Callithrix jacchus: one gene and its partners. The protein of the gene in region 2 interacts with the protein of the main gene of each other region in a pairwise test. Links are inferred from orthologs where the notes say so. Each region holds a gene or a part of one and is shown on either strand. Other genes may lie near its edges.

Region 1 (4,224 bases), on a different chromosome or scaffold from region 2:
AAATTAGCTGGGCTTGGTAGCATGCACCTGTAGTCCCAGCTACTGGGGAGGCTGAGGCAGGAGAATCACTTGAACACGGGAGGCAAAGGTTACAGTGAGCCAAGAGGGTGCCACTGCACTCCTGGTGACAGAAAATCAAGACTCCATCTCAAAAAAAAAAAGAAAAGAAAAGAAAAAAGAAAATTAGCTGTAGATGCCTGTAATGCCAGCTACTCAGGAGGCTGTTAGAATTGCCTAAACCCAGGAGGTGGAGGTTGCAGTGAGCCATGATCATGCCATTGCACTCCAGCCTGGGCAACAAAGCAAGACTGTCTCAAAAACAAACAAAAACCCTACATTTCCATATGAAAAGCTTGTGACTTCCACATTCTTTCAGGATTAGTATTTCTATGATATCAAATATATTTTATTTTTGTCTAAACATTCACTTACAATATTCTAACAAAATTAAAAATTTGGTACAGTGTGTCATATCAACCCGGGCTACAAAACCTTGAGAGATTAGCTCTTTGACATCCATCATAGATAAATTTCGTACAGCAACTACCTAAATGGAAATTAATAAGCTGTTTGCTCCTGAAAAAAAACACATACTTGAAAAAGAACGTCAATGATAAAATTTCCATTCTAACTACAAATCAACTCAACATCTTCAGTTGATTTCAAAAGCCAGATCACTCAGACGGAACAACTGACAGAAAAAAAGTTATGGGTGTACCACATGACAACATTAAGTGCAGGAAACAGGTTGCAACCAGTTTGTATCATTTAAGTTTAGAAAGAAAAGAAATAGCCCTGTGCATTTATGTATATAAATGCAAAGTGTTAACAGCAGGAAACATAAGAGGATTTTCACTTAACCTCATGCATTTTGGAACTGCTTAAAATTTTTATAACAAAAATGCATGACAATTTAAAAAAGGCTAAAAATCAATGTATTAACAGTACTAACCCGTCTCATGTTTTTCGGAATAGAATATGTATTTTCATTTGCTAAAAAAATGGAGAAGAAAAGCTTAGCCTTTCTCAGTTCTTTTATTATATTCATGTAAATACATTTATGAGAAAAACACAAAAAACAGGATATAAAATGCACAATATATCTCCAATCTCACAGTTTAGATAGGCTCAGAAATTTACTGGCCTACCAAAGAGTCGTGAGAGAATAACATTTTTTAAAATCATTTTCAACATCTTTATTATAGTGACTTGATTCTCGACTGATGACTCTGGATTTAACTTTTCACAAATAAAGGTAAACATGACCCAGCTGCACATCAAAGCCCGAATACTTAAACCTGAGACCTTTCCACAACGCTGCGATGCACAATCTTTATCAAACAAGGAACAAACGAATAAAACGAAGTTGAACACACTGCCAAACGTTGGCAGGAGTGGCCAAACTACACATTTTAATCTTAACACTCTGCAAATCTTGGGACCGCTGTCTCATTTAAAGAAAACAGAAGAAACACAGGCGGAGTGTTGCGGGCTCTGCCACTGACGCAGTTCAGGTGAGAGAATGAACTCTCAAGCACCCTCCCCGACCGCAGGCAGCAAAACACCACGCTGCGCACTGGTTTTGCCTGCTAAACAGCGAGTAGGGAACTCCGAATATTCTTGATGGAAAGGTAAAAAACGCTTTTCTTAAAGCGGCCTTAAGTTATTTATAAGTTCCACATCCCATCAACACCACACGAAGTACTGAAATACGATGCCCGCTGCCTGCTGGACGCTACCGGACGGGGAAAGGGCGAAGGCGCCAGGCCGGACGGCGCCAGGGACCCCCGCCCGCCCCTCCCGGACCCGGACGTCACAGGCCGCCCTGCGGTCGCCCAGGCCTCCCGCATCACAGAGACCTCCAGCCCCGGGGCCGGGCGCCCTCCTCTTCCCTACCGCGTTCTCGGGTGGCTCCGACCTCAATCCTGCAGAGGCTGAGCTGGAGGATGGAGAAGGACCCCGCCAGCTTGGATGTGCGCGCCCCAGGGTAGCGACCTCAGCGTTCGCCCCCACACGCCACCCCAGCAACCTCCCTCAACTTTGTCCAACTTGCCGTAAAGGCTCAGTGCCAGGGTTTGGGGGCTCCACCTCACCCCACCCCGCCTGCGCTTCCCCCGAGCTCCGCAACCGGCTGGTGAGGGCTGGAAGGGGTGTGATCCCCGCCCTTCTCCTCCTACCTTCGGCGGCCACCAGGACCCTCAACTCTCCCGGCTCTTCCCTAGCCCCGCCTCCAGGAACCGGCCCCGGGACCCCAGCCTCACAGCGGGGCGCGCCGTGGCCCGCTCCCCAGCTCCCCACTGCGTACCCGGCGCCTGCAGGCCGCCCCCAGGGCTGTCGGGCCCCTGAGCGCCAGGTGCCGGGAGGGTCTTGCGCTCCTTCTGCGACTCCCTCCGGCCGCCCGCGCCCGCTCGGTGGCTAGAGGGCCCGGCCGGGCTCCTGCCGCCGCGGGGACCAGCCCCGGCCGCCGCCGCCGCCTCGTCGCGCCTCTTGCGCTGCAGCTGCTGCTGGCGCCGGCGCTCGGCCTCGCGCAGGATGTCGAACGGGTCCGACTCGTCGTCCAGCAGCTGATGGAAGCGGTTGGCCACCACGCAGCCGAAACTCTCCTGCATCACGGCGCCGGCTGCGGCCACGGGGCTCCCCAGAGCGCCCTTCATGCCGCCACGACCACAGTGGTCCCGGGCGGGCAGCCCACGCGAGCGCGTCTCAGCGAAGCTGGCGGCTAGGACCCATGCCGGCCGCTGCTCCGCCGCCGCCGCCACCGCCCTCCGGGCCCTACCCGGCCCGGCCCCTCCCGGCGCCCGCCCCCGCGCTGCCGCCGCCGCCGCCGCCACCACCCGCTTCGCCTCGCCCGACAGCCAATCAGCGCGCGGGGAGACGCCCCCTTTCCGAGCCGGCTCTCCGGGAGGCCCAATCACCGACCGGCTGCTGTTACGTCACGCGACCTCTGAGCCCCGCCCCCTCCGCGCAGTACAGAGGGGCGGGGCCCAGGGGCGGAGCTACTGGCCGGAGACACCACCGCTGTCCCGGCGGCGCGGACTGGTGGTGGGGGCTCGGCTGCGTGCGTGTTCTCCCCGGACTGCGTCCGTACTTGTTACCGGCCACTCTGCTTTGAGCTTATGCATACATTTAGCCGCTCAACAGCTACATATTGCGCACTTACCGTGTGCCAGGCGTTATGCTGTGGGAAATACTAGCTCCGTGTTTGCACAGGTCTGAGTCTGTAGATGGAGAAAAAGTGCCCTGAAGGACAGGCGCAGAGCTCTCTCTACGGGCTTGCAGCAGAGGGACCTGACCTAATTGGGAAGTGACAGTTAAGCTGAGAGAGGGGGTGACAAGGGGCCGGAGGAGGAACAGCAAGTGCAGCAGTCTTGAGGTGGGGTATGCACAGCCTATTCAAGCTCAAAGTCGTCCATCCCTATTCTAAGAGCAGTGGGAAGCAAGTTTTGAACATGAGCAGATTTGGGTTTGAAAAGGCCACCCGACCTGCACTGTGAACTAATAATTTGGAGAGAAATACAAATGGATGCAGGGAAGCCAAACACAATTGTTGCAAAGCTCCAGGCAATTGCTGATAGTGACTTGGATTAGGTTGGTAGAGGTGGAGGTGAAGAGAGTGGAGGATTCAGAGACTTGGTGATGAGCTAGATGTAGTGATGAGGAAGAAGGTATGGTGACTCTTATTTTCCTGGCTCCAGCATCTGGTGGTAGTATTAGTCACCATTGGAAGAGACTACTTTCATGAGAATCATGAATTCAGTCTTGGACACGTTGAGGTTTGGATATTTGTTTTCTTTTGAGATACTCAGTTGAGGCCTGGAGTTTAGAGAACGCTGGACTGGACTTTCTCCAGGAAATCTTGCATGGGCACTGATGCAGACACGCTTGGCTGCTTATCCTACAGCCGTTCTTTTTCCCTCTTACATTTTCCCAGAGCCTGTATTTTGTTCAGGCATCATATTCCCCAGAAGAAGCGGCCCCTTCCAGCCTCAAACTTGATTAACCATAAATTATTCACAGCACCTGATTCCAATTCCTTCTTAGTAACTGGCTTAGGAATAGGCCGTGGGGCAATTTGGGCAGAACGGATCTGAGAAGTATTCTGGGAAAGTTTCTCTTGCACCTAAGAAGGGGTTGAGAATGAATCTTGGTGTTGTGGTTTGGTGATGACCAGTTCAAAGATGCCAAAGAGAACTCTGGCCTGAAGCAGTGCTTCTCAAGTGTGGT
Region 2 (4,180 bases):
CCCCCACAACGAACCACCATAATAGGTCTGCTGCACATGCGTACTGCAGGCAGGGGGTGGGTTTGTATTTTCAGACCTTTTGCAAAGAAACTACCAGAATTTTCCGCACCACCCACAATCATTCCCCACCCCCACCCCCAAGGAATCACATCTATATATTATGTTATATTATTTCTCTCGACTTGCCAGAAGGGGGAGGGAGAAGAAATGAGTTTTTGGCTTCCTGCTCCCTTCCCCCACCAACACGAGTGCTATTATTTTAAACGCTTAACAATGTAAGGAGACTGAAGAGAGGGGGAAGGGATAAAATTGGTCTTGGGTAAGAATGTAAAACAAAATGGTGAGAATCATAGCAGTCGGAATGGAAAACAATGGAAACCTCTCCTGTGCACAAATGCATATTCTAGACAAGAGCGAGGGCAGCCTGAACAAATTTCCTTAGAGGAGGGTTATTTTCCCCACACTTAGGCAGACAGAAATAATGAGTGGGCTAAAAATATTTTCCCGAAGTTTTACCTCCGAAAGTCATCTGAGGGGGTGTATCTGGGTCACTCATTTGACTTGGAGGGCTGAAAGGGAGATAAAAATTGCCCAGGGGGAAAGGGGAGATGGGTTTTCATTTCTAATGTAAAATGTAAGCAGCCTTTGACGTTTCTTCTGGTCTATTCAGAAAACCAAGGGGGAAAGGGGAGGCCCGGTTGACACAAAGACCCATCTCAACCTCCGATCCTTTCACGCTTCTTTCCTCCGCACGTACCCAGATCCGGGACCCACCCCACCCCACCCCAGATTCCGAGTCCCAATACAAATAGGTGAGGGCTGCCAAGCCCCTGGCAGGACCTGGCGTCCTTTCTTTCCCACTTTTCAGCGCCTCTGCCGGAGGCAACCCCAAAGGCACCCTCTCCCCACAACTCCCCTTTCCTTCCCCTCCTGCCATGGCGGGGGGCTCTCAGGGAGAACTTTTTCAAAAACTTTTCTCTTTTTCAGACAAGCTTGGGGGGCGGGGAGACTTTATCCTGTTTCCAGGAGACACATCCCTCCCCGACCCACAAGAAAGCACCCCCCGCTCCCCCAAAGGTCGTCTCAGCTAGACGGGAACGTTTGCCACAGAAGTCACACGGATCAATATGACAGTTTTACAAAGAGACCGATGTTGGCCGTTTTGAAGTTTGCTGCATTTGTGCCGCATGGCAGCCAGAGGCCTGGGGGTGCGGACGTCCCCTGCTGTTCCGCAAGCAGGGGGTGTGGACACCCCGATGCTCACCTATCTCAAAGAAGACTAGAAATCACTCCACTAGGAGGGTGGTCTGGGGGGGACACCGCTGGGCGCCTGACGCGGCGCAGCGGTCTGGAGAGCGCCGCCCAGAGAATTCCGCCGGGTGACTTGTCACCCCGGGGAACGGGTGCTGAGTGATGGTCAAGCTGCAGAACAGCTGGGTGGGCAGTTCACGCCCCCCAACGTGCTCAGGGAGTGGGTGGTTTCAGCGAGAGAGTGACAGTGAATGGCAGCCGCGCGAGAGTCACAGCTGCGCAGCTTGGCCACCCCAGACTGACGGGGTCAGGAGGGGAACCCCCCCCCCACCGCACTTGACACAAAAGAGCCCAGTGCCCCGGAGAGATGAAGGAGGTGGAGCTGGGGGCATGTGGTTCCCCAGACACTCTCCCCTCCGATCCCCAATCCTAAAGGACCGCTGTCCCCTGCACAGGCTGGGGGAGCTCCAGTCTTATTCCAGGAAGTGGTCTGGGTGGACTGTGGCCACCACCTGCCCCTACTTATCAGCAGCCCACAAACATTCACACGACCCCTCCCTCTCGTGCCACCTAACGCCCCTCAGTTGGCGGACACCTAAGTCCCCACGGGTGGAGGGGGGTCCGATGGACACCGTTCCTCCTCTGCCTGCCCAAGTCCTGAGCGGAGGGGGCAGGCCCGCCGGCTTCTCCGTGCGGGGAAACCCCGCTCTCCCTCGGTCCAACCCCACCGGGGCCCGAGCCCGAGGGGCGCTCGCGCGGCCGCCCCTCCCCCACGCGCCCCTCCCCCACGCCGCCGTCCGGCCGCCAGGGTCTCCGCGGTCCCTCGCTCGGCCAGGGAGGGGGCCCTGGCTTCGCCTTGGCCGTTTCCTGCCTACCCCCTCCCCGCCGAGGGTAAAAAAAAAAACCCTCCTCCTCCTCCTCCCCCGAAAGCCGCGACCGAGTGGCCCGGTCCGCGCGCGCAGCTCGCGCCCAGCGCTCTCCAGCCGGGGTGGCGGCGGCGTTGGCGGCGGCGGCGGCGGCGGCGTTGGCGGCGGCGGGGGAGGGGTGCAGCGGGGGAGGGGAGGAGGCCTGGCCCCGCGGTCGCGGCCGCCAGCGACCGCCCGGACCGCCGCAGGGCCACGGGCCCGAGCCCCGGATTCCCGCCCCGGATTCGCCTCGGCTCGGCCGCGCGGTGGGTGCCTCGCCCCCGCCCGGCTTCGCGCGCCCGCGGCTCCCACTTGGGCTTGGGGGGTAGTCGGGCGGCCGCTTACCTGGCGGCGGGGGCGGGGGCAGCGGTGGCGGCGGCGGCGGCGGCGGCGGCGGGAAGAGGTGGCAGCCGGGGGGGCTGTGGCGGTCGCGGCCCCGGTCGTGGCCCGGCCCGCGCCCGAGTACTCCCTCGTCATCGTCCTCCTCATCGTCTTCGTCGGCCGCCTCTACCTCCTCCTCCTCCTCGTCGCCCTCTTCTTCCTCCTCTTCTTCCTCCTCCGACACCACCATCTCCTCCTCCTCCTCCTCCTCGTCCCTCAGAGGGGAAGCCATCCTGTGGCTCTGGCCCCCCCACCACCCCCCCACCCACCGCCCGCCCGCCTCCCCCACCGCTACCACCACCACCTCCTCCTCCTCCTCCTCCTCCTCCTCCTCCTCCTCGGCGGCGGCGTCCTCCTCCTCACCGCCTCCCCCAGCCCCCCAAACCCCCGGGCCACCCCCCTCCAAAACCCCCACCCTCGGGGCCGCTGTCTGAGGAGGGGGGCCAAACCACCCCCAAAAATTGTCTTGGAAAAAAATTGAGGAAAGACTTTTTTTCCTTCTCTCTTTCCTCCCAAGAGAACAAGAAAGGGGGATTTAAAACATATATATATATATATACATATATATGTGTGTATATATATAAAAGTTTTCGACTTCTCTCTGCCCCCCTCTCCGTTGCTTTAAATATATTTAAATTCTGAGGGGGGCGCTCAGAAATATTTCTCAGAGCTGAGGCACTAAGATGGCCGCCTTGAAATTATTTTTAAAACAACCCCCCCTCCAGCACCGCCACCCCCTCCATAAAGAAAAGGAGAGGGGGGAAAATCCCCTTTTCAAACAAAATGGCTGGCTTAATATTTCATTTTTCACCCCCCCATTCTCCTCCCTGTTACACCCCCATCTCCAAGCCTCTACCCAGAAACCCACAAATTTCTCCTTTTTCATAACTGATTAGTGCACAGATTAATAGAGATATTTTCCTTGTGTACTGAAGTGTGTGTGTGTGTCTGTGTGTCTGTGTGTGTTGGGGGGGCATGAAGGATTTCTGCATAAAACAAAAATGGCTGCTGTGACTAACTCCCCCCTTATAAAAAATATTTGAGGGGGGGCATTAATCAGTACTCATGCTCAGTCTGACATCAGCATAAATTGTTAAAGGTTAACTAGTTAGATACTAGTCCAACTAGATTTAATTTTTTTTCTTTTCTTTACTAGTCTCTTCCTCCCCACCTCCCTTCTCTAAAGAAAAGCTTTTTTTTTTTTTTGAATACTTCAGAAGGGAGTGGTTTGATGTGAAGGTTTTTTTTCCCCTTCAGGCATTGAAAAGGAAAAAGATGAAATATATGTTTATATATAACTCTGTTTCTACATACCTCATTGAAGTCACAACGCATTTAATTGTGTACAGATCTTCTAAATGAGAAGCGGGACTGGATTTTTTTCTTCTTTCTTTAAAAAAAGTGATAGAAATCCTAGTGACTTTTGGGGGAGAGATATGAATAGATACGATGATTGAGTTTTTTCAAAGGAGTCCATGTTTGATTCTCCCCTTTACCCAGCCTTTTCAGTGATTTATAATTGTTGTAAATTTTATCTTTACTTTTTCCCCCCTTTCCCTTGCTTTCCCCTCCTCCAATTGCTAGAATGTAAAATTCAACTGACTTTTAATTTGGGGGTAAATGGGACAAATTTTTAGGATAAA
Region 3 (3,500 bases), on a different chromosome or scaffold from region 2:
TACTGGTCTACTTGGGTTTGAACCCAATACCCTGACATCATGCAACTTCTAGCCTTCCCATATCTGTAACCAGCAAATTAAATTTCCTGTGTGGTTTCCATTTTGCTGACTGAACTCTGATATTTAAACACTTTTCTTGAACTTTGAATAAAATGGAATTTTCCTTAAGTTTTCAAATGTTGTATTTTTTTTTTTTTTTTTTTTTTTGAGACGGAGTTTCGCTCTTGTTACCCAGGCTGGAGTGCAATGGCGCTATCTTGGCTCACCGCAACCTCCACCTCCTGGGTTCAGGCAATTCTCCTGCCTCAGCCTCCCAAGTAGCTGGGATTACAGGCACGCGCCACCATGCCCAGCTAATTTTTTGTATCTGTAGTAGAGACGGGGTTTCACCATGTTGACCAGGATGGTCTCGATCTCTTGACCTCGTGATCCACCCATGTTGGCCTCCCAAAGTGCTGGGATTACAGGCTTGAGCCACCGCGCCCGGCCCCAAATGTTGTATTTTTTTACTACTAACATCAGAGGTCTAATTTAAACTCTTTTGCAATATATATACATATAACTAAAACTATGTAAAGTGTGTTTAAATTTTTTTTAAAAACTACAGTTATGATGGCAAAGCAACTTTACTGATCATGAATGATCCTGATCCTTAATATTTATGTTTTATGTTTTTACTTTTATATTACTCCTTAAGTGACTTGGAATAGAGATACATTCATACATACTGAATAACTTAATGTAATTAAAAAATAATTTATTGAGTCCCAGTATTACATCTGAAAAATCAGTATTATTTCATTCTTTGAAGTGCTCTGCATAAATTAAATAATCATAAACATTTCAAATAGCTGGTGTTTCGGGGAACACAGGATCTCTCCAAATTATTTCTTAAAACTGCATGTCAACTGACAAGTACCTTAAAAAGTTCATCTATGGAAACAGCAATTTTAAAGAAAACAACAAAAATGTTTAGGCACTATTAAAATATGACAGTAAATATGAACTAATTCTTGTATCAGTATTGTAAGATAAAATAAAGCACAATGTAGAAAATTTGTTCCAAAAATTTAAAGGCTTTTCAGTTTTTTTTTGTTTCGTTTTTTGTTTTTGAGACAGAGTATCACTCTGTCACCAGGCTGGAGTGCAGTGGCATGATCTCAGCTCACTGCAACCTCCTACTCCCTGGTTCAAGCTATTCTCCTGCCTCAGCCTCCCAAGTAGCTGGGATTATAGGCATGCACCACCATGCCTAGCTAATTTTTATATTTTTAGTAGAGATGGGGTTTCATAATGTTGGCCAGGAAGGTCTAGATCTCCTGACCTCATGATCCACCCACCTTGGCCTCCCAAAGTGCTGGGATTATAGGCATGAGCCACCACACTCAGCCTTTTAGTTTGTTTTTTAAAGATAATTATCCTAAGGCCAGGCACAGTGGCTCACACCTACAATCCCAACACTTTGGAAGGCCAAGGTAGTCAAGTCACTTGAGGTCAGTGAGTCCAATCTGGCCAAAATGGCAAACACTGTCTCTACTAAAAATAGAAAAATTAGCTGGGTGTGGTGGCAGGCACCTGTAATCCCAGTTACTCAGGGGGCTGAGGCAGAGAATTGCTTGAACCTGGGAGGTAGAGGCTGCAGTGTGCTGAGATCGCATCACTGTACTCCTACCTGGGCAACAGAGCAAGACTCCATCTCAAAACAACAATAACAAAAAAAGATAATTATTCTAGACTGTTTCGCCTAGTGAAAGTCCATACCATAGGGAAGAAAGCAGTCTATTAAATATTATACTTCTCTCCAACCCCCTTTTTTTTTCTTTTTGTCCCACAAGTCATGACAGCCAAAAAGCTTCTAATCATTGGGCTCACCTCAGAATTGTCCATGGCGGCTTTCAAAATGTTGGAGTGTGCATTGACAGCCTGTACTGCAGCATTCTGAGCTGCAATAGCCTGCAGAGTGACACTTGCAGTTTGCCTCAGAGCATCTTCTAAGCTCTTGGCTAGAGCTTAAAAAAAAAAAAAAGAACAATTAAAAAACAAATCCCTACCCCCACAAATGACTGGAAACTTGCTGTTCTCCTATTGAGATTTCCATTGTATTTCTCAAAAAATATGAAAAGGAACGACAAAATACATGAGACTCAAGTTTAGGGAATCAAAGTTTCACTTAAAAGTATGGTAAAATACTGACAATTTGGTCTGGATGATGAATCTATGAAGCTCTATTACACTATTTTTTCTTTTTTGTTTTTGAGACGGAGTTTCGTTCATTACCCAGGCTGGAGTGCAATGGCGTGATCTCGGCTCACCGCAACCTCCGCCTCCTGGGTTCAGGCAATTCTCCTGCCTCAGCCTCCCGAGTAGCTGGGATTACAGGCATGCGCCACCATGCCCAGCTAATTTTTTGTATTTTTAGTAGAGACGGGGTTTCACCATGTTGACCGGGATGGTCTCAATCTCTTGATCTCGTGATCCACCCGCCTCGGCCTCCCAAAGTGCTGGGATTACAGGCGTGAGCCACCGCACCCGGCCCACACAATTTTTTCTTGTATGTATATCTAAACTTTTTCAAAATAAAAAGTGTTTTTTTTTTTTTTTTTTCAAAATTATTTAAAGAAGGACAAAAGGACTCAAAAGAAGACACCAATGTTTGAGAGGCTACCACCTATTAAGATCATATTTCTATATGCTGTTTCAGGAATACCAAAAAGTAAAGCAAAGAACAATTTTAGATAATTTACTAAAATGCAAAAAAAAAAAAAAAGGTCATTCGAAGAAAGGTTAGTGAGAATACTAATTTAATAATAAACGATATGACAAAAATAAAAACTACATTTGACAAATGAGAAAAAAAGATAATTTTGAACGAAAGCAGCATAAACTAGCAAAAACAAACAATCAGATGAACTACAAACGGTACCTCTGCAAGAAAGATAAAAGAGGAAAGCTAGAAAGCTAATAAGGAGAAAATAAAAGTAAATTGACAGAAGTGAAAGAAATGAAACAACAGCAGCAGGAAAAAAGAGAGAAGGAGGCAAGGGAGGGAAACCATGGTATTTGGATCCCGCAACATACGTAAGGGAACAGTAGACATCACCTACAGGTAGTTATGAACCACTTTATGGAGTCCACAGAAAGTGGGCTGCTGGAAGGCACCTGCTGCTTCCAGCCCTCTTCAGAGTTCTAGTCACTGTATTCTGATCCTTGATAAATGTTACACATGCAAACATATGCATGTACATTTTTAAAGTCAAATTTGAGAGAAAGTTAAGAGGTGATAGATAAAATTCTGAAATTTTTCACTTGGTCCAAAATGAAAGATGAGAGGAACCAGGCAAAGAAAGTAACAGCTGAAATAGCAGACATCTCCAGCTTACAAATATAACTTAATTTCAAGGTGCCCATGTGATAAATGATAAAGAGAGACAAGTGAAAAGTGAAGAAAAAAAATATGACTAAAAGAAAAAAGAAACGTTTCACTTAGTTAGAAGTCATTT
Region 4 (3,500 bases), on a different chromosome or scaffold from region 2:
AACAGGTTTCACGATTTTTACCAGGCTGGTCTCAAACTCCAAACCTCAGGTGATTTTCACCCAGGCTTCACAAAGTACTAAGATCACAGGCGTGAGCCACTGTGCCCAGCCAGTTACTTTATTTTTCCAATAAACCACACAAGTAGATTCACATGCAATTATGTATGTGAATTCACACTGCTGTTCAGTAATTCCTCTTTTTATTCTTTTTGAGACAGTCTCGCTCTGCAGCCCAGGCTGGGGTGCAGTGGCGCGATCTCAGCTCACTGCAACCTCTGCTTCCAAGGTTCAAGCAATTCTCCTGCCTCAGCCTCCCAAGTAGCTGGGACTACAGGCATGCACCACCGTGCCCAGCTAATGTTTGCATTTTTAGTAGAGACGGGATTTCACCAAGTTAGCCAGGATGGTCTCGATCTCCTGAGCTTATGATCCCCCCACCTCAGTCTCCCAAAGTGCTGGGATTACACGCATTAGCCACTGTGCCCGGCCTGTTGTTCAGTATTCTTATACTTTTTCCACTTGCTAAGTAAGAATGGCATAAATGTGAAAAAGCATGCTAAGAAACTAATATTTAAGTAGCAACAATCAACAAGGTAATAAGTCTGAAAAAAGGAGTCCAAACTGCTTTTTACAGCCACAGAACTAAAAAAGGTATGGGAAAAACCCATCAACCTAATTGCTGCCTTAAAAAAAAAAAAAAGCAGATTGGTCTTAGAGGTAGAAACAAAGTATCATTACACTGGCAGTAAAGACCACAAAATCTATACTATTAAGTTATCCTTATAATCAAAGACAGACTGAATCAAGCAGGTGGGTCCCTGAATTTGTGTATCAGGTGCTGAGAATTTAGGTGGACATTATGGTTGTTTCCAAGCATCAGATCTGAGTTCATATCTATCAATTACTTGGGAATTCATCAAAATATTTAGCTAAGAACTTATTTTGTGACACGCACTGTTCAAGGCATTGGAGAGATTATAGAAAATAAGACAAAAATGAATTCCAGATTTCACAGTAGAGTCTAGTAAAAGAAAAAGTGTCAACAATCATGAGTGTCACAAAAGAAGTTATACAGGGAACACAACGGTTATTAAGCGGAGACCTAAAAAGCAGTTAGGAATTATCAAAGTGAACAACTGGTTTTCAGGTAAACCTTAGCAAAGGCCAAGAGTTAACTTGATTCACTCTATCAGTTTCCTCATGTGGAAAATGAGAATGTCATCATAGTAACAAGAATTAAATGACATTAAGCACACAAAATGCCTAGCCCAGCACCAGGACCGGCACCTAACAGGAACTCTAAAGTGTGGCAATTAAACATTACTAACTTTATACAAAAAGGCATTTAAGTGCTTTAAACAAAAATATAACCTAACATGTGTTTTCCTGAAGACATGGCTACTACTTCTACTTACGTTCACAAAAAGACCCAGTCAGTGACTTATAAGAGGTCCTTAAATTACTTAAAAGGAAAAGAAGGACTTAAATTACCTTGTCGGTCCTGCTGCCACGGTTTGGGCGTCCACCACGCCCACGTCCACCTCGTCCTCCCCTGCCACCACGTCCTGGGCGGCCAAGGTCTCCAAAATTGATCTCTAGCTGAGACGTTATATCATTTGCTGGCTTCCGGAAATGATGGTCCATAACCGAATCTTCAGCATGAGCCTAAAAATATAAGTGAAGACGACTGAGTAAGTAGTAGAAAAGCAATGTTGCAAAATTCCTAAATAATAAGCTTTCTTCTAAAATGACCAAAACTCCAAAAACTGTACTTTCTGTCAACAAACGTCTCCACAGGTAACAAGCTATACTCAGCTATAGTGATCTTGAAGAAAGAATTTCCTTCACTTCTCTCTATCTCAAAATTGCAGGTAATACCAGCAGTCCTCAACTAAAGTCATATATGTTATCACAATCAACGCAAATAGCTGAAACCCATCCCAGACCTACTGAATCATAATCTTTAGCAGTGAAATCTGGACAAATACATTTTAAATATGCCCTTCAGTTTAGGACTCCAATGTGAATCCTTGATGTAGACCTTTGGATAGAAGACATATAAGGTTATTTTACTAGTACTAACATTGAAGTTAAAAAGAACACTCAAGTTAAAAAGAAAACCTCTGTTCTACACTCTTCCAACTACAACTTGGGTAAAGACAGTATTACATATAAACTTCTTAGAAGCATTTTCTGTTAATATACAACTATTATGTTTTTCTATACAAATTAGAGCTACAAATTCAAGTAAAACACTACACACTTTACATTAAGAGGGAAACACTGGAAAGCTATGCACAAAGATAACCACACACATTGGAAAGCTATGCACAAAGAGGACCAAATGTTAAATATGTCAGGAACCTTTTTTTTTTTTTTCTTTTAAGACAAAAATCTCACTCTGTCACCCAGACTGGAGTGCAGTGGCATGATCTGGGCTCACTGCAACCTCTACCTCCCAGGCTCAAGCAATCCTCCCACCTCAGCCTCCCAAGTAGCTGGGACTACAGGCACATTCCATGACAACTGGCTAATTTTTTAAAAATTTTTTATGGAGACAGGTTTTTGCAGTGTTGCTCAGGCTGGTCTCAAAACCCTGGGCTTAAGAGATCCATTGGCCTTGGCCTTTCAAAGTGCCGGGACTACAGGCATGAGCCACAGTGCCCAATTAGAACCTTCTTAAAAATGTAGTCATGTTTGTGAAATCCAGTTTTTCTATTTATATAAAGATACATGACCCAGTCCGGGGGAAAAAAGCAAAAGGTCAGACAATTCTACACTGCTCGATGCCTGTTGTCTTCTTGTATGCTTGGGATGGGTTTTATCTTCTAAAATCTTTGCTTATTTGACTTTAAAGTACAGTTTTTCCTAAATACATGTAAAAAAAAAAATCCTTCTCTTTAAGGGATAATAAACATTTTATTCTTTCAGTAGAACCTGTACTATTACAACTCCATTAGATTCAACTTACAATATTACAGCTGTTAATAACTACCCTCTGAAGTGCAAATAAACTTGTTTTAATCTATGTTTTCAACCCTTACATCATCTCATAATAGTATTCAATGTCATCCCATTGTGCCACATCAATACACTGTAAGGCAACAGAAAGTTCTAATACTAATTTAAGTGGAGCCCAGAAACTTAAAAACAAATTCACAAAAACATCAGTAAATTAAAGTCAATTATATATGCTGTCTGATTTTTAAATGTTTTCTATTTCAAACCAATGCTTTCAATTCATTACAAACCACAGATCAAAAATATTCAGAAAAAAAATAAAACCAACCAACCACATAAAAATAAAAAATAAAGTCAGGTGTGGTGGCTCACACCTGTAATCCCAGCACTCTGGGAGGCAGAGGCAGTAAGACTGCTTGAGCCCAGGAGTTCAAGATCAGCCTGGGTGATACCTAACATGGTGAGACCCTTCTCTATAAAAAATAAAATTAGCTGGCCTTGGTGGCACAGGCATGAGTTCCCCAGCTACTCAGGAGGCT
Region 5 (4,109 bases), on a different chromosome or scaffold from region 2:
CTCATCACATTGGGTGGTCCAGTTTGGACACCTCCTTCAGGAGAGAAGTCAAGAACAACTCCCCTTATCATTATACCGCCATATTAAAAAACATAATTGTTTAGAGAAAGGGAATTCGTATCTGAATTCTGACTTCTGGCCCTCAATCTATTGTTAAATTTATCACATCATTATGAACAAGCCAACTAAACTCAGTTTCCTAGGATATTTTTGAATAGTAATTGAAAACACAATGTCACAAATAGGAATACGATTAGAATTCATGTGAGGATGTCATGTAGGTGAGAAAGCAAGGGTATTGTCAAAGAAAAAATAAAAGATTTAAAGTTAAAATATTTGACATCAAAGATTAATTTTATTGAATAAAAATGATTCAACTATCTGGAAATCTTATTTCTCTCTGTTGTTTTCCGTTGTTTCAGGTTTAAAATTTATAAAATTTTATAATTTTATATTTATAAAAGGGCCATTAGCTTTACTGAAATCTTTCAAAAAATGAAAATGCTCATTAAAAAGAAATGTAGGTCTTGCTACACATTGCTATATGTGAAGCCCAAATAAGGCACATGGAAAATGTCAATAAATTAGGAAGTTCATGATTCCAAATCTCATGATCTCATGAAAAGAAGTCTAAAAAAAACAGAGAATTATATATAATACATACAATACATTAGACTATAAATATAGTTAGGTATACTTTATTACTCTAATTCTCTGTAATATCTCATTTAAAGTCAGATAATTTAAAAGTCATGTATTAAATAGTACTTGTGTATATCTCAAGCTCTACCTTTGAGAACATAATGCATTTGCATCCAGAAGCAAACAGCTGGAACACAGCAACTAATAATGCTGTTACATGTGGCTTCAGATGGGAGTTCCTTATAGTGGCTTTTCACTAAATGAAGAAAAAGATGTCCCAAAGGGAATCAGTGAGCAGTGGCAGGAAAAAAGATCATCTTCTATGTATTTAGAGCACAATTAGAGAATTTAAGGCCCAAGTTTCTTAAAGCACAAAAGAATGGCATTAGAGTATTTTTGAAAAAATATATAATTTTTAAAAATCTCATCTAATTTAAATGAAAACGTATAAATATTGCCAGTCTGAAATAACTCATGTCCCAAAGGGAGAAAAAAAAAAGATAATATTCATTCTAATTTCCTCTGAATTTAACTGGACTACATATTCCTTAATGATTTGGCCTTTAAAATGCATAATTTACTTAAAAAGAAACATAATGAAGATGGAAAATACAAGCTTTATTTTCTGCGTTGGGAGACTTCTCTTTTGTTTCATTCTCATTACCTGTTAATATTTCTACATATCAATGCATTCCTAGATAATTAAGGGGCTAAAATGGGCTCTGCTGTTTCATCAATTCCATGTTTGCCTTGGATCATAAAATTGCTTCATTATGTTATTAGTTCAAAAGCTCTTTTTGGTAATTTACCAAGTCTTCTCCCAGATCCCTTACTCCAGTGCGCGCACGCGCACACACACACATACAGACACGCACGCACACACATACACCCCACCCCTTTCTCAAGCTGCTAAAGCAAAATGCTTGATAACTCTTAAAATGCTCAAGGATGGGAACTTTACTATTCTCTCCTCTTAGGACCCCCACCCCTCCTATTTTCTGAATGTATTCCCAAACTTACAAAGCAGCTCTTAATAGACACAAGGGTGAGTTAACAATAAAGCGGATCTATACGGCATGTATGTGTTCTTGTATGAGCGCGTGTGTGTTGTGTCGTGTTATGTCATGGAAAAAGGGGTGTGTGTGTGTATGGAGAAGAGAGAGAAGGCTTCACGTTCAGTCTATTAAGTAAGAAAGGAGTTGAATATATTCCTCTCAAAAAAATTTCATAACTTATTAGAAACATCAACTTAGAAACTCTCAATATCTAGTCGATTAGTAACAAATACACCCTAGGTTCATATGGGTCAAATTAAAAGTTTAAGGGTCTATGTACAGGGCAGTTCTTTATATGGGACTCAGGGGGCATCTTCTAAGCTTTGGGTCTAACCATTTCTGGAACCATTCCTGGGCTGTCAGGTGGGAATAAGGGTGCCAGTGGTTCTGTGAGAGACGTTCCATGTCAGCTAGCATTGGGAGGAACAAGCCCCCACAGTTTACCTAGAAATGCCAGCTAAGAGTCATGGGCTGGCCGGCCCTGGGGCAATCAGAGAATCAGAGAGAGGATTGGAAAATGAGAGCTGCTTGTTCAGGCTGCCTTACTTTCTCTTCAACTACCCAGCCACAGACACACCTACTAAAGCTCCCGGTTTTACAAAAAGCAAAGATGCACTCTCCCGCCCTGGCCTGCTCTCCAGCTGGCAGCTGGAACAGGGTCCAAATGCACGCTTAACATCACAAAAACTTCTCACACTTACCTAAGCACTCCCTGACGAACCTAACCTCACTCCCCCAAAATATGCCTCCCTTCGTCCCTGAAGCAAGTCAGTTTTGAAAGCGGTCCTATCAGCAACGACACCAGGCAGCCTCTCTCACTCCTACCACCATCATCGGCTGGCACCCAGAAAAGTGGCACAGGGTGAAGGCAAACTCGAAGAGCCCTCCGAGAAATCGTGCGTTCTTCTCACTTACTTTGAGTTGCAAATGTCCGCTCTGGCGCTCAGGCTGCCTTTGTTGCGAGGGGCGAGGTTGCTACTGCCGAGTCCAGGTATGGGCGGCTCGCTGCAGCTCTGGGTGGCTGCGGCTCTCCACGCCTTCTGGACGGATGAGTCACTGGTCTCTTTCTTCCCCTCTCCCCACTTTGGATTTTCCTCTGCTCTGGGGCTCTCTTGGCGGGATTTTTGGACTGGAAGGCGGGGAACCTGATCCTGCCTTTGACTCAATTACGCCCCAACAGGGAGGGAACGGAAGGGAAATGGAGAATGGGAGTGATGAGAGGAGCGGGCCAGGAGGACGCAGGCTGGGCGAGGGAGGGAGAGCGCTTTGCGCTCCAGAGCTGATTGGGAAGCTTATTAAAAGCAGAATACTCCAGGGGCAGTCTCTCCCCATGGAGCAAGAAAAGGGATTTGAACTAAGAGGCCAGGAGATGGCATTTTGTTTTGTTTTTAGCAGAGACCAAACACAGTATTTCTCTTCCAAACTCCATGCATTATCAAGTCTTCAGATGGTGCAAAGCCACTTTGCCAACTGGGATATTTTAAATGAACAATTGACTGCATTTTAGGTTACAGTTTTGGCCCCACACAATTCTTTAATGATATTCAGGATGAAAAAGCACTCTCGCTGGGCGCGGTGGCTCAAGCCTGTAATCCCAGCACTTTGGGAGGCTGAGGCGGGTGGATCACAAGGTCAAGAAATCGAGACCATCCTGGTCAACATGGTGAAACCCCGTCTCTACTAAAAATACAACAAATTAGCTGGGCATGGTGGCACGTGCCTGTAATCCCAGCTACTCAGGAGGCTGAGGCAGGAGAATTGACTGAACCCAGGAGGTGGAGGTTGCAGTGAGCCGAGATCGCGCCATTGCACTCCAGCCTGGGTAACAAGAGGGAAAGTCTGTCTAAAAAAAAAAAAAAAAAAAAAAAATAGAAAAAGCATTCTCTTCAAACCAGCCTCTTCTTTCCCACCCGCCAAAGCCCTCCCTATACACAGAGGCAGTTACCCAGCTGTGAGTCACATCTCATCTGCAAAGCACAAAATGTACAAAGTACTTTTTCTCGATTGTCACAAAGAGTGACAGACGTCTGAAAACTCCCAATTAAGTACTACTTACCTTTAGGGAGAGCTCTCTCCTTTTTTGGTTTCCTTGGTGCCTTTAGTGACCTATTTAGTAACATGCCTTTGACACCCAAGAATTTAGAGGATGTGTCAATGTAGCTCAAATGCTGAGGTTTGTAAAAGTTGGAGGCTGGGCTTTGTGTCTCTCTGAAATTTTCATTTCATTCAGTTGAGGAAAGATGCTAAGTCAATGCAGAGGTAAGTATTCATGATACAGATGAGATACAAGTATTGTATTAAGATTAAGATGCATTACACAAATTTACCCAAACATTTTCAAAATGTAAATCTCGAGATTTTCTGCTACTTACCAGCTTTTCCTGCTCCTTGGCTAGTTCCTTTCACTTACTT
Region 6 (4,103 bases), on a different chromosome or scaffold from region 2:
CAGACTCCGTGGGGACCCCTGAAGGTGGCAGGCCGGGAGAGATGGAGGGGGAGAGGGGAACAGAAAAACAGACGGAGAGAGAGAAAATCAGGAGACAGAGAGAGAGGCAGGGAGGCAGAGAGAGGGAGTCGGAAAGAAATAGAGGGTAAATTTGGAAGAACAGGGAGAGGGAGACAGAATAAGACAGAGACAGAGATATAACGAGTTAAAGACAAAGTCAAGTTAGAATTGGAGACAGACAGAGAGAGGGAGAGACAGAGAGAGGGAGAGATGAATTCACACGAAGGCAAAAATGACTTATTCAGTTCAATCAACTTGGTTGCTGCTGCCCTGAGCCTGGCAGGGCACATGGACCCAAGCCCTGCCCTCCAGAAACCCTTGATCTTGGGGGAGACAGGTGGACACAGACCCTCTGGCCCCACGGGGTCAAGACTGGATCAGAGGAGGTACCTGGGCCTGGGGAAGGCCAGTGGAGGTGGTGGGGACGCTGGGGCATGTGGAAGGGTTTCCTGGAGGAGTCTGAGCGTCTCTTGAAGGGTGAGAGGGAATATCAGACAGAAGGGGTAAACAGACGCCGGGGTGCTGGGAAGAACCCATGAGTTTAGGAGAAAATGCAAGTGTTTGGGGGCTGTAGCAGGGGCAGGAGGAGCTGACGCTGGAGAGGTGATTCGGGGCTGGGCCAGGAACAAAGGGCTTGAGCTTCCAGCACCAGGAATTCAGAATTCTTCCTGCCTGGTAATGGGGAGCCACAGCAGGTTATGGAAGAGGAGGAGGAGGAAAAATTCACGCCTTGGAATTCTGATTTTTTTTTTTTCCAGCCAGGTGTGATCAGGCCAAGGGGGTGAGTGGAATGCTGGTTGTGATTTCAAGGGACACGTCCTAAAGGGAGGGAATATCAGCCCTCCCCAGTGTCCAGGACACATCCAGAAGGAAGGAAGGAAGATGGATGGGCCCTAATGCCTAGTTGTGTGGCTCACGGGGAAGGCCGTGGCAGGCTGGTGGGCCTTGCCCCGATGTCCCCTGCACACTCACTCACAGACCTGAAGTCGGGGATGCCAGAGGCGGTGCTGATGCCGGCCCCTGTGTGAAACACCACGTTGGAGGACTGCCAGACCAGCCTCGCCAGCTCCCACACCTTCCGCTCCAGCTCCTCTGGGGGGTCGAAGATCTGTAGGGGGAAGGAGCAGATGGAGGGGTCAGAACAGGTCCCGCAAGTGGCCAGGCCATACACGAGCCACAGACCGAGCTGTCCCTTTCTTGCCTGGGGCAGGAAATAGATTGGAAAAGGCAGCTTGTCCTCATGTGTGTCCTCTGCCTACAGACCTCCGTGGCTCCCACCTGCCTTGTTAAAGCCCTAGCCCTGCCCCCTCATGTTCTCTTCTGCTCCCTTCCCAGCGTCACTCACTCTGATCCAGCCACGCAGGGAGGCCTCCTCCCTCTTCCTCCATCACGCCAGGCACAGTCCTGCCTCAAGGCCTCCGCACAGGCTGTCCCCACACCCTTGAGTGCTCTTCCCCCAGATACCCACATGGATGCCTCCTTCACCTCCTGTAACTTGTGGGTCAGATGTCACCTCAGCGACAGTGACGCCTCCCTTGGCCACCTGGTTTCCATACAACCCCTAGTCAGTCTCCCTTATTAGAAAGAGGGGTTAACTTGTCTTGCTCCTGACTGTGGCCCCCTTACCTAGAAAGTGCCTGACCCACAGCAGGTGCTCCATCAATGTTGGTGGAAGAAAGTGACTAACAGGCCGGGCGCGGTGGCTCACGCCTGTAATCCCAGCACTTTGGGAGGCTGAGGTGGGCGGATCACGTGGTCAAGAGATCAAGACCATCCTGGCCATGGTGAAACCCCGTCTCTACTAAAAATACAAAAATTAGCCGGGCGTGGTGGCGCGTGCCTGTAATCCCAGCTACTTGGGAGGCTGAGGCAGGAGAATTGCTTGAACCCAGGAGGTGGAGGTTGCAATGAGCCGAGATCGCGCCATTGCACTCCAGCCTGGGTGACAAGAGGAAGACTCCGCCTCAAAATAAGTAGGTAAATAAATAAAGTGACTGACAGCAGCAATGAAGAGCGCGGCTTCTGGACAGACACACCGTCAGCGCTCACTAAATGCAAGACTCGGAATGCATGGGTCAGCCTTTATGGGACGGGGCCATCTTCACGCAGGCGACAGCCTCCGCAGAAAGGATGGGGATGGGGACCCAGAACTGAAGTGACTTCCCACCGGGCGCGGAGGGGACAGCCGACCCCTCCACTTCCCCTCCGAGTGGCTGGAGGGATCTTCCTGGCACATTCTGTCCAGGCCCCTCGCCAGGGCAAGACCCTTCTCCATCCCCCTCGGGAGAAGGTGCCAACTCCCCAGCCTGGCATTTGAGCCCCGCCCTGGCCCGGCTCTGGAAACCTCCCCGGCCTAATCGTTCTCCAGGTGCGTTTATTCCACCACCCTGCCCTTGCGCCTGCCGTCCCCTCCTCCTGGAACTACACACCCCCGCTCTCCCCGACCAGCCCCGGCCGGTGGCCACAGAGTTGGGCGTGTTCGCGTCCCCGGGTGCGCAGGGGTGTCACTTCCCGCCCCTTCCTCACTGGGAAGTCCCTCCCATTGTCTAGCCTCAGTGTCTCCTGATATTCCCACAATGCCCTGCTGCCGTCCGGACCCTCCCTGCCAACGGCGTTGGGAGCGACCCTCGGGATCCCCGGATGCGCTCACCTCGGGGAGGCCGCACTTGCCCTTGTCCGCATACGGCGACAGCCCCGCAGCGTAATTCACCGACATCCTCGCCGCGCCCACGGGAACAATAAAGTTTCCCTTGTTGAGGCCGCTTCCGCCGGAAGCGGGGCGCGGCGGGGAGGAAGGAGGAGCCGCGTTCCTGTTCCGCGAACCCTGCCTCCCTCGGCAAGGCGCATGCGCCGCGTGCTGACGCCGCAGGAGCCATGTTAACTGCTGTCGGAAGGAAACCCGATTTCTTGGCTGCAGGCATTCTCGGGGTTTGGGAAGGGGCTGCCCGATGACCCGAGCGGGAAATTGGGGCGGCCGCCTACGTGAGAGTCCTCCAGTCACCTCTAAAATGAGGGACGCAGGCTATCGATGCCCCCATAACCCCGTTTTACGTGTTAGTAAATTCCATAAGGACAGTGCCAGACAGCAGGGACCCCCTAGTCCAAGGGTCTTGAATGCCACCCTGAATTATCTGAATTTTTTTTTTTTTTTTGTAAGACAACCTCGCTTTGTCGCCCAGGCTGGAATGCAATGGCGCAGTCTCAGCTCTCTGCAACCTCCTCCCGGGTTCAAGCGTTTCTCCTGCCTCTGCCTTCCGAGGAGCTGGGATTACACACGCCCACCACCGCGCCCAGCTAATTTTTTTTTTTCTTTTTTCTGATTTTTGTGTTTTTTAGTAGAGATGGGGTTTCACCATGTTGCCCAGGCTGGTCTCGAACCCCTCACCTCAGGTGATCCACCCGCCTCGGCCTCCCAAAGTGTTGGGATTACAGGCGTCAGCCACCGCGCCGGGCCAGGTTATCTGAATATCATACAAGTGGAGGCTCTGAATTTTGCAGGACACTTCCTGCTCGTGGTCACTGGGGCTGGTGGCCTGGAGGGCTTATTTAAGAATCATGTGTTGAGCACCTACTGTGCACTGGGCACACTGGGGAACAAAGATGGTACCGTCCCTGCCCTGGTGGCTGGGGGTGGACACAAAGATGTGATCAGGTAATGGTGACATGGTGTGGTTGCGGTGCAATGGGGGATGCAGAGGGCACAGGGCAGCGAGGGGGCTCACAGGAGGCACCTGACCCAGCTTGGGGGCATCCAGGAGGGCTTCCTGGAGGAGGGGATGTTGCAGCAAAGATCTAAAGAGTGCATGAGTCAGGTAGAGCCGGTTGGGAGTGACTTGAAATATAGAAAGAATGTTCCCAGTGGGGGAAACAGCAAGTGCAAAGGCTGAGGAGACAGGAAGAGCGTGGCTCCTTCCAGAATCTGAAATCAGTCCAGTGATGATAGGGAAGATCGTGGGTGTCTTCCCGCCAGAGCCGCTGCCAGCCTGTCTCCTCCCTCGGCTCATCCCCAGCCCCCTGGGGCGGCCGCCCGCTCAGAGCTGATC
Region 7 (4,261 bases), on a different chromosome or scaffold from region 2:
CCAGCACATTGTTAGGCAACACTACTGACTCCCTACTACTTAGAAAAAAACCAAGTAGGTATTTTCCTTAGATTCAAGCATGAAGTATATTTTCTGTATTTTTCATAAAACAATGTCCTTTCAATTAACACAAAACTAAAACACGTTAGTATTTTGCTGTTAATCATTGAATCAACAGCATAAACACTGCTTTAGTTTCTCACACTTAACAGTCTCTTAATTTCAGCATATATCTACATATCTATATCTATATATCTGTCTATGTGTTTATATGCTATTAGGTTATTTTTATAACTTAGGTTTGGTGAGGTCCTGACCACCTAGCAGTGACAGGAGGTAGAAGTAGGGGTAGGTCCTTATAAAATATGTGTAATTCTTGTTTACTTTTGCAAATAAGTCTGAAAACACTTCATTTTGACGATAAGTTTTGAAATGGCAATGACAATGGAAATTTCTGACCGTATCTTAAAACTAGATAAAAATTACCAGTGACAAAGAAAAAAGGCTTATATTACATTTAATAGTGTTAGTTTTGAAGACAATAGTGTAAATGTCAAACTTTCATAAAGGATAACCCCACAGTTGGAGTGTTTGATGCAGAAACCAGTACAAATTTTGATTCTTAGGAAACCAAGTGTTCTAAGAAATGTTCTGAACATTATATACATTAGAAAAGGGAAGATAATTTTTACAGATGTTTGAGGTGTTGTAACACATCTACTGATATGCCCAGCTGTTTAACTAAACCGGCTGTCTGTTCTAAAATCCACGTGAGGCTTGGGTTTTCTGAATGTGCATGCTCCTGTGTTCCACAACATTCTAAATATGAAAAATCTATCCCACTATGGCTCCTGCTACAGTTTGTGTTAAACTCAGCATTATTTTCACAGAGTCTTTCATCGGTAGCTTCATCAGTCTTTTTCTCAGCTGCAACGACATGACACAGGTCCATATCCTCAATGGAGTCCAATAAATCTACAACATGGGATGGTGGAGTGACTGATTTCAGATGTTTGAGCACGTACTCTTCACACTGGCCAACTGCATCCAGAAGATTATGTATTTTATTGATCAAAGTCGAATTATTATTATGAAGGTGACACCAGGAGAGCAAAGCACTGAACAGAAATATACACAAGAGTTAAATAACAAAGACAGTTAGTCACAGGCTTTTAGAATGGTTGATGCTAAGCCTGACATATTTCTCTTCCAGATAATACTGTGCAAAAATGGATTAAGGATAATAATGCAGTCAGAATCAGGAAAGTAATAACAGTAAACAGGACCTTAAATTATCTTTCAATAACAATTAAACAATTGGACTTAATCATAAGACTGTTCATAATTCATAACCACTTTCACAACTCCGTATACACTTTTCCTGATTTTATACTTTTTTCTTATGATTATGTGGTATCTGTTGAAGATAAATACAGCTCCAAGAAAGAAAAACTAGATTCTTCTTTAAGGTCAGAAGAATTTAAATAGCAATTTAATTAGAATTAGTTAAATTGAGAATTTAAACTAGCAATTCTCAATCACGGATGCACATTAGAATCACCCAAAGAGCTTTTAAACCTATCAAGACCCAGAGTATACTCCAGGCCAATCAAATCAGAATCTCCGGGGCATCTTTTTTTTAAGTTTCACAGTTGATTTCAAGGTGTAACCAAAGTTGAAAACCATTGTTCTAAGCATATAGTTGCTTGCCATCAGAAATGAAGGTTAGAGAAATGAAGTTTTTTTTTTTTTTTTGAGACGGAGTTTCGCTCTTGCTACCCAGGCTGGAGTGCAATGGCGCGATCTCGGCTCACCGCAACCTCTGCCTCCTGGGTTCAGGCAATTCTCCTGCCTCAGCCTCCTGAGTAGCTGGGATTACAGGCATGCGCCACCATGCCCAGTTAATTTTTTGTATTTTTAGTAGAGACGGGGTTTCACCATGTTGACCGAGATGGTCTCGATCTCTTGACCTCATGATCCACCCACCTCGGCCTCCCAAAGTGCTGGGATTACAGGCTTGAGCCACCGCGCCCGGCCCGAGAAAAGAAGTTTTAAAGAGACTTCACTTTCCTGGGCTTACGTCACAGAGTAGACATTGTTTCCTGAACTACTAACAATTTCCTCGAAAAAGGTAAAAATTCTTCTAGTCCTAACAGATTTAATATTACAGTAATGCCATAAAATAATGGTTGTTACGAAAAGTATTTAAAAATAGAATCTATTGATGTAAAAGACTCAGTAGTAGCTTTCTAAGTTTATATAACATTGATTTAACTTGATAATGTGAATATTCACATTGATTAGTTTCCTACTGTAGCAGAATAGATTCTAGTTCCTAATAGTTGGATTCTCTAAAATTCCAAACACAATAAATTTTTTAGTTCTATTTTGGTAACTTTTATTATCTACTTTTCTTTAAAATTAGCGATTCTTTGAAGCATTTTGTTTTTCTCTACTGAGGACAGTTTGAAGGGTATAAAGCAGGGGTGTTCAATCTTTTGGCTTCCCTGGCCACACTGTAAGAACAGTCTTGGGCCACACATAAAATATACTGACAGTAATGATAGCTGAGTTAAAAAAACAAAAAAGAAAAAAAAAATCACAAAAAAATCTCATTATGCTCATGTTTTAAGAAAGTTTATGCATTTGTGTTTGGCCATATTCAAAGCTGTCCTGGGCCACATGCGACACGCAGGCCACTTGTTGGACAAGCTTGGTATAAAGCATCAAAAAGGACAAGGCTGCTAGGCTTCCGGCTCTGTGTATCATTTGACCACTTGGCTCTGATACATGCCGTTGTTGCGATGGCATCCTGACAAGTATTCAATGTCAGGACTACAGTAAATGAAATCAGTTTTCTCTTAATTACCAACTATAATTTTCATCACGTACTTCTTGTCTAGAGGTCTGTCATATTGCATGCAAGTACCAAAAGTTTTAATCAAAACCTGAAGATCTTTTAATGAGATAGGTGATTGTTTAGGTAGCAAAAGCACACATCTTCTTACCATTTCTTTGCACAAAAAGACGATATGTAGTTCACATATTAAAGTGGATGAACTGATAATAATTTTGACTTTTTGAAGGCAATATAATTCTATGTTCTGTGAGAGGCTTCAGTGGATTTAGCACTAGGAAAAGCACTTCAGTTTAAACGCCTCCAGCAGTATTGAGTTTAAAATGAGTCAGCATTTAGGTTTTAAAAATTACCTCAGTGTTCCTCGGAGTCGTCCATAGTTTAAAATGACTTCTGCGCCTTCCTTATAACCTTGATTGAAGCCCTGTTGAAGAGTAACTGCTTTGCCAGCATCTACTCCATCTCTATAACCTTCCTAAAAATAAATAATGGAGAAATGCAGCTGTAACTAACACCAAGTATACCACATGTAGGTTTTTCTAGAAAAGCACAGAACCAATTTAGAAAGCTGATGAATTAGGCCTTTACTGTGTTAATGACCATAATACGGCATAACAACATCACTAAAACAGACTATGCTTCTCATAAGTTTATTATTGGTTTATCATTACTTATCCTACTTTTGAAGTCTAGAGTTACTGGGCAATTTTTAAAACACTGATAATTACAGTTTTTAAAAAACCCAATGTTGGGCCGCTGTGCTTGCTGTGAGGTGGGCAAGCGGCGGACATGGCACCCTTTGGGAGTCTTGCAGTTCCCCTGGCAGTCTTGGTGCAGTTGCTTTGGGGTGCTCCCTGGACCCATGGGCAGTGGAGCAATGTACACGTCATCATCATGAGAACTGGAGAGAGCTGCTGGAAGGAGACTGGATGATAGAATTTTATGCCCCTGATGCCCTGGAATGGGAAAGTTTTGCTGAATGGGGAGAAGATCTTGAGGTTAATGCTGCGAAAGTGGATGTCACAGAGCAGCCAGGACTGTCTGGACAGTTTATCATAACTGCTCTTCCTAATATTTATCATTGTTAAGATGGTGAATTTAGGCACCATCAGGATCCAACGACTAAGAAGGACTTCATAAACTTTATGTAATGAAGAGTGGAAGAGCAGCGAACCTGTTTCATCATGGTTCGGGCCAGGTTCTGGTTCAGATGAGCAGTATGTCAGCACTCTTTCAGCTCTCTATGCGGAGCAGGACTTGCCATAACTACTTTGTTGAAGACCCTGATTGCCAGTGTCGGGATCATATACTGTTTCTGCTTTAGCAACTCTGCTTTCCAGATTGTTATTGGGACTCTTTATGATATTTGTGGGAGATTGCCTTTGTCCTTCAAAAAGGCACAGA

What was found.
Region 1: the proteins of CHD3 (region 2) and HABP4 interact in a two-hybrid assay, tested with the Homo sapiens proteins (3 studies listed by BioGRID and IntAct). The link is inferred for Callithrix jacchus from reciprocal best matches to the Homo sapiens genes CHD3 and HABP4.
Region 3: the proteins of CHD3 (region 2) and IMMT interact in a two-hybrid assay, tested with the Homo sapiens proteins (2 studies listed by BioGRID and IntAct). The link is inferred for Callithrix jacchus from reciprocal best matches to the Homo sapiens genes CHD3 and IMMT.
Region 4: the proteins of CHD3 (region 2) and SERBP1 interact in binary tests that used the Homo sapiens proteins (3 or more experiments, as listed by UniProt). The link is inferred for Callithrix jacchus from reciprocal best matches to the Homo sapiens genes CHD3 and SERBP1.
Region 5: the proteins of CHD3 (region 2) and PTN interact in a two-hybrid assay, tested with the Homo sapiens proteins (2 studies listed by BioGRID and IntAct). The link is inferred for Callithrix jacchus from reciprocal best matches to the Homo sapiens genes CHD3 and PTN.
Region 6: the proteins of CHD3 (region 2) and SIRT6 interact in a two-hybrid assay, tested with the Homo sapiens proteins (2 studies listed by BioGRID and IntAct). The link is inferred for Callithrix jacchus from reciprocal best matches to the Homo sapiens genes CHD3 and SIRT6.
Region 7: the proteins of CHD3 (region 2) and YAE1 interact in a two-hybrid assay, tested with the Homo sapiens proteins (2 studies listed by BioGRID and IntAct). The link is inferred for Callithrix jacchus from reciprocal best matches to the Homo sapiens genes CHD3 and YAE1.

Annotation. Positions count from the first base shown.
Region 1 is NC_133502.1:77,381,277-77,385,500, forward strand, and holds the start of HABP4 (intracellular hyaluronan-binding protein 4), read right to left. Parts: upstream 2,801-4,224; 5' UTR 2,655-2,800; coding exon 2,306-2,654; intron 1-2,305. UniProt on the Homo sapiens protein: Ribosome-binding protein that promotes ribosome hibernation, a process during which ribosomes are stabilized in an inactive state and preserved from proteasomal degradation.
Region 2 is NC_133506.1:74,381,829-74,386,008, reverse strand, and holds the start of CHD3 (chromodomain-helicase-DNA-binding protein 3), read right to left. Parts: upstream 2,801-4,180; 5' UTR 2,770-2,800; coding exon 2,502-2,769; intron 2,423-2,501; coding exon of another isoform or gene 1,876-2,422; exon of another isoform or gene 1,849-1,875; intron 1,413-1,848; exon of another isoform or gene 1,265-1,412; intron 570-1,264; exon of another isoform or gene 557-569; coding exon of another isoform or gene 517-556; intron 1-516. Other genes in the region: uncharacterized protein LOC144582572, read left to right, coding at 1,876-2,422.
Region 3 is NC_133515.1:26,833,178-26,836,677, reverse strand, and holds part of IMMT (MICOS complex subunit MIC60), read right to left. Parts: intron 2,010-3,500; coding exon 1,873-2,009; intron 1-1,872. UniProt on the Homo sapiens protein: Component of the MICOS complex, a large protein complex of the mitochondrial inner membrane that plays crucial roles in the maintenance of crista junctions, inner membrane architecture, and formation of contact sites to the outer membrane.
Region 4 is NC_133508.1:104,649,693-104,653,192, forward strand, and holds part of SERBP1 (SERPINE1 mRNA-binding protein 1), read right to left. Parts: intron 1,666-3,500; coding exon 1,492-1,665; intron 1-1,491. UniProt on the Homo sapiens protein: Ribosome-binding protein that promotes ribosome hibernation, a process during which ribosomes are stabilized in an inactive state and preserved from proteasomal degradation.
Region 5 is NC_133512.1:109,978,627-109,982,735, reverse strand, and holds the start of PTN (pleiotrophin), read right to left. Parts: upstream 2,801-4,109; 5' UTR 2,613-2,800; intron 1-2,612.
Region 6 is NC_133523.1:3,924,703-3,928,805, forward strand, and holds the start of SIRT6 (NAD-dependent protein deacylase sirtuin-6), read right to left. Parts: upstream 2,801-4,103; 5' UTR 2,777-2,800; coding exon 2,711-2,776; intron 2,567-2,710; exon of another isoform or gene 2,490-2,566; intron 1,862-2,489; exon of another isoform or gene 1,687-1,861; intron 1,169-1,686; coding exon 1,041-1,168; intron 19-1,040; coding exon 1-18. UniProt on the Homo sapiens protein: NAD-dependent protein deacetylase, deacylase and mono-ADP-ribosyltransferase that plays an essential role in DNA damage repair, telomere maintenance, metabolic homeostasis, inflammation, tumorigenesis and aging.
Region 7 is NC_133512.1:8,037,086-8,041,346, reverse strand, and holds the end of YAE1 (protein YAE1 homolog), read right to left. Parts: exon of another isoform or gene 3,647-4,261; intron 3,333-3,646; coding exon 3,211-3,332; intron 1,119-3,210; coding exon 689-1,118; 3' UTR 501-688; downstream 1-500. UniProt on the Homo sapiens protein: The complex LTO1:YAE1 functions as a target specific adapter that probably recruits apo-ABCE1 to the cytosolic iron-sulfur protein assembly (CIA) complex machinery. May be required for biogenesis of the large ribosomal subunit and initiation of translation.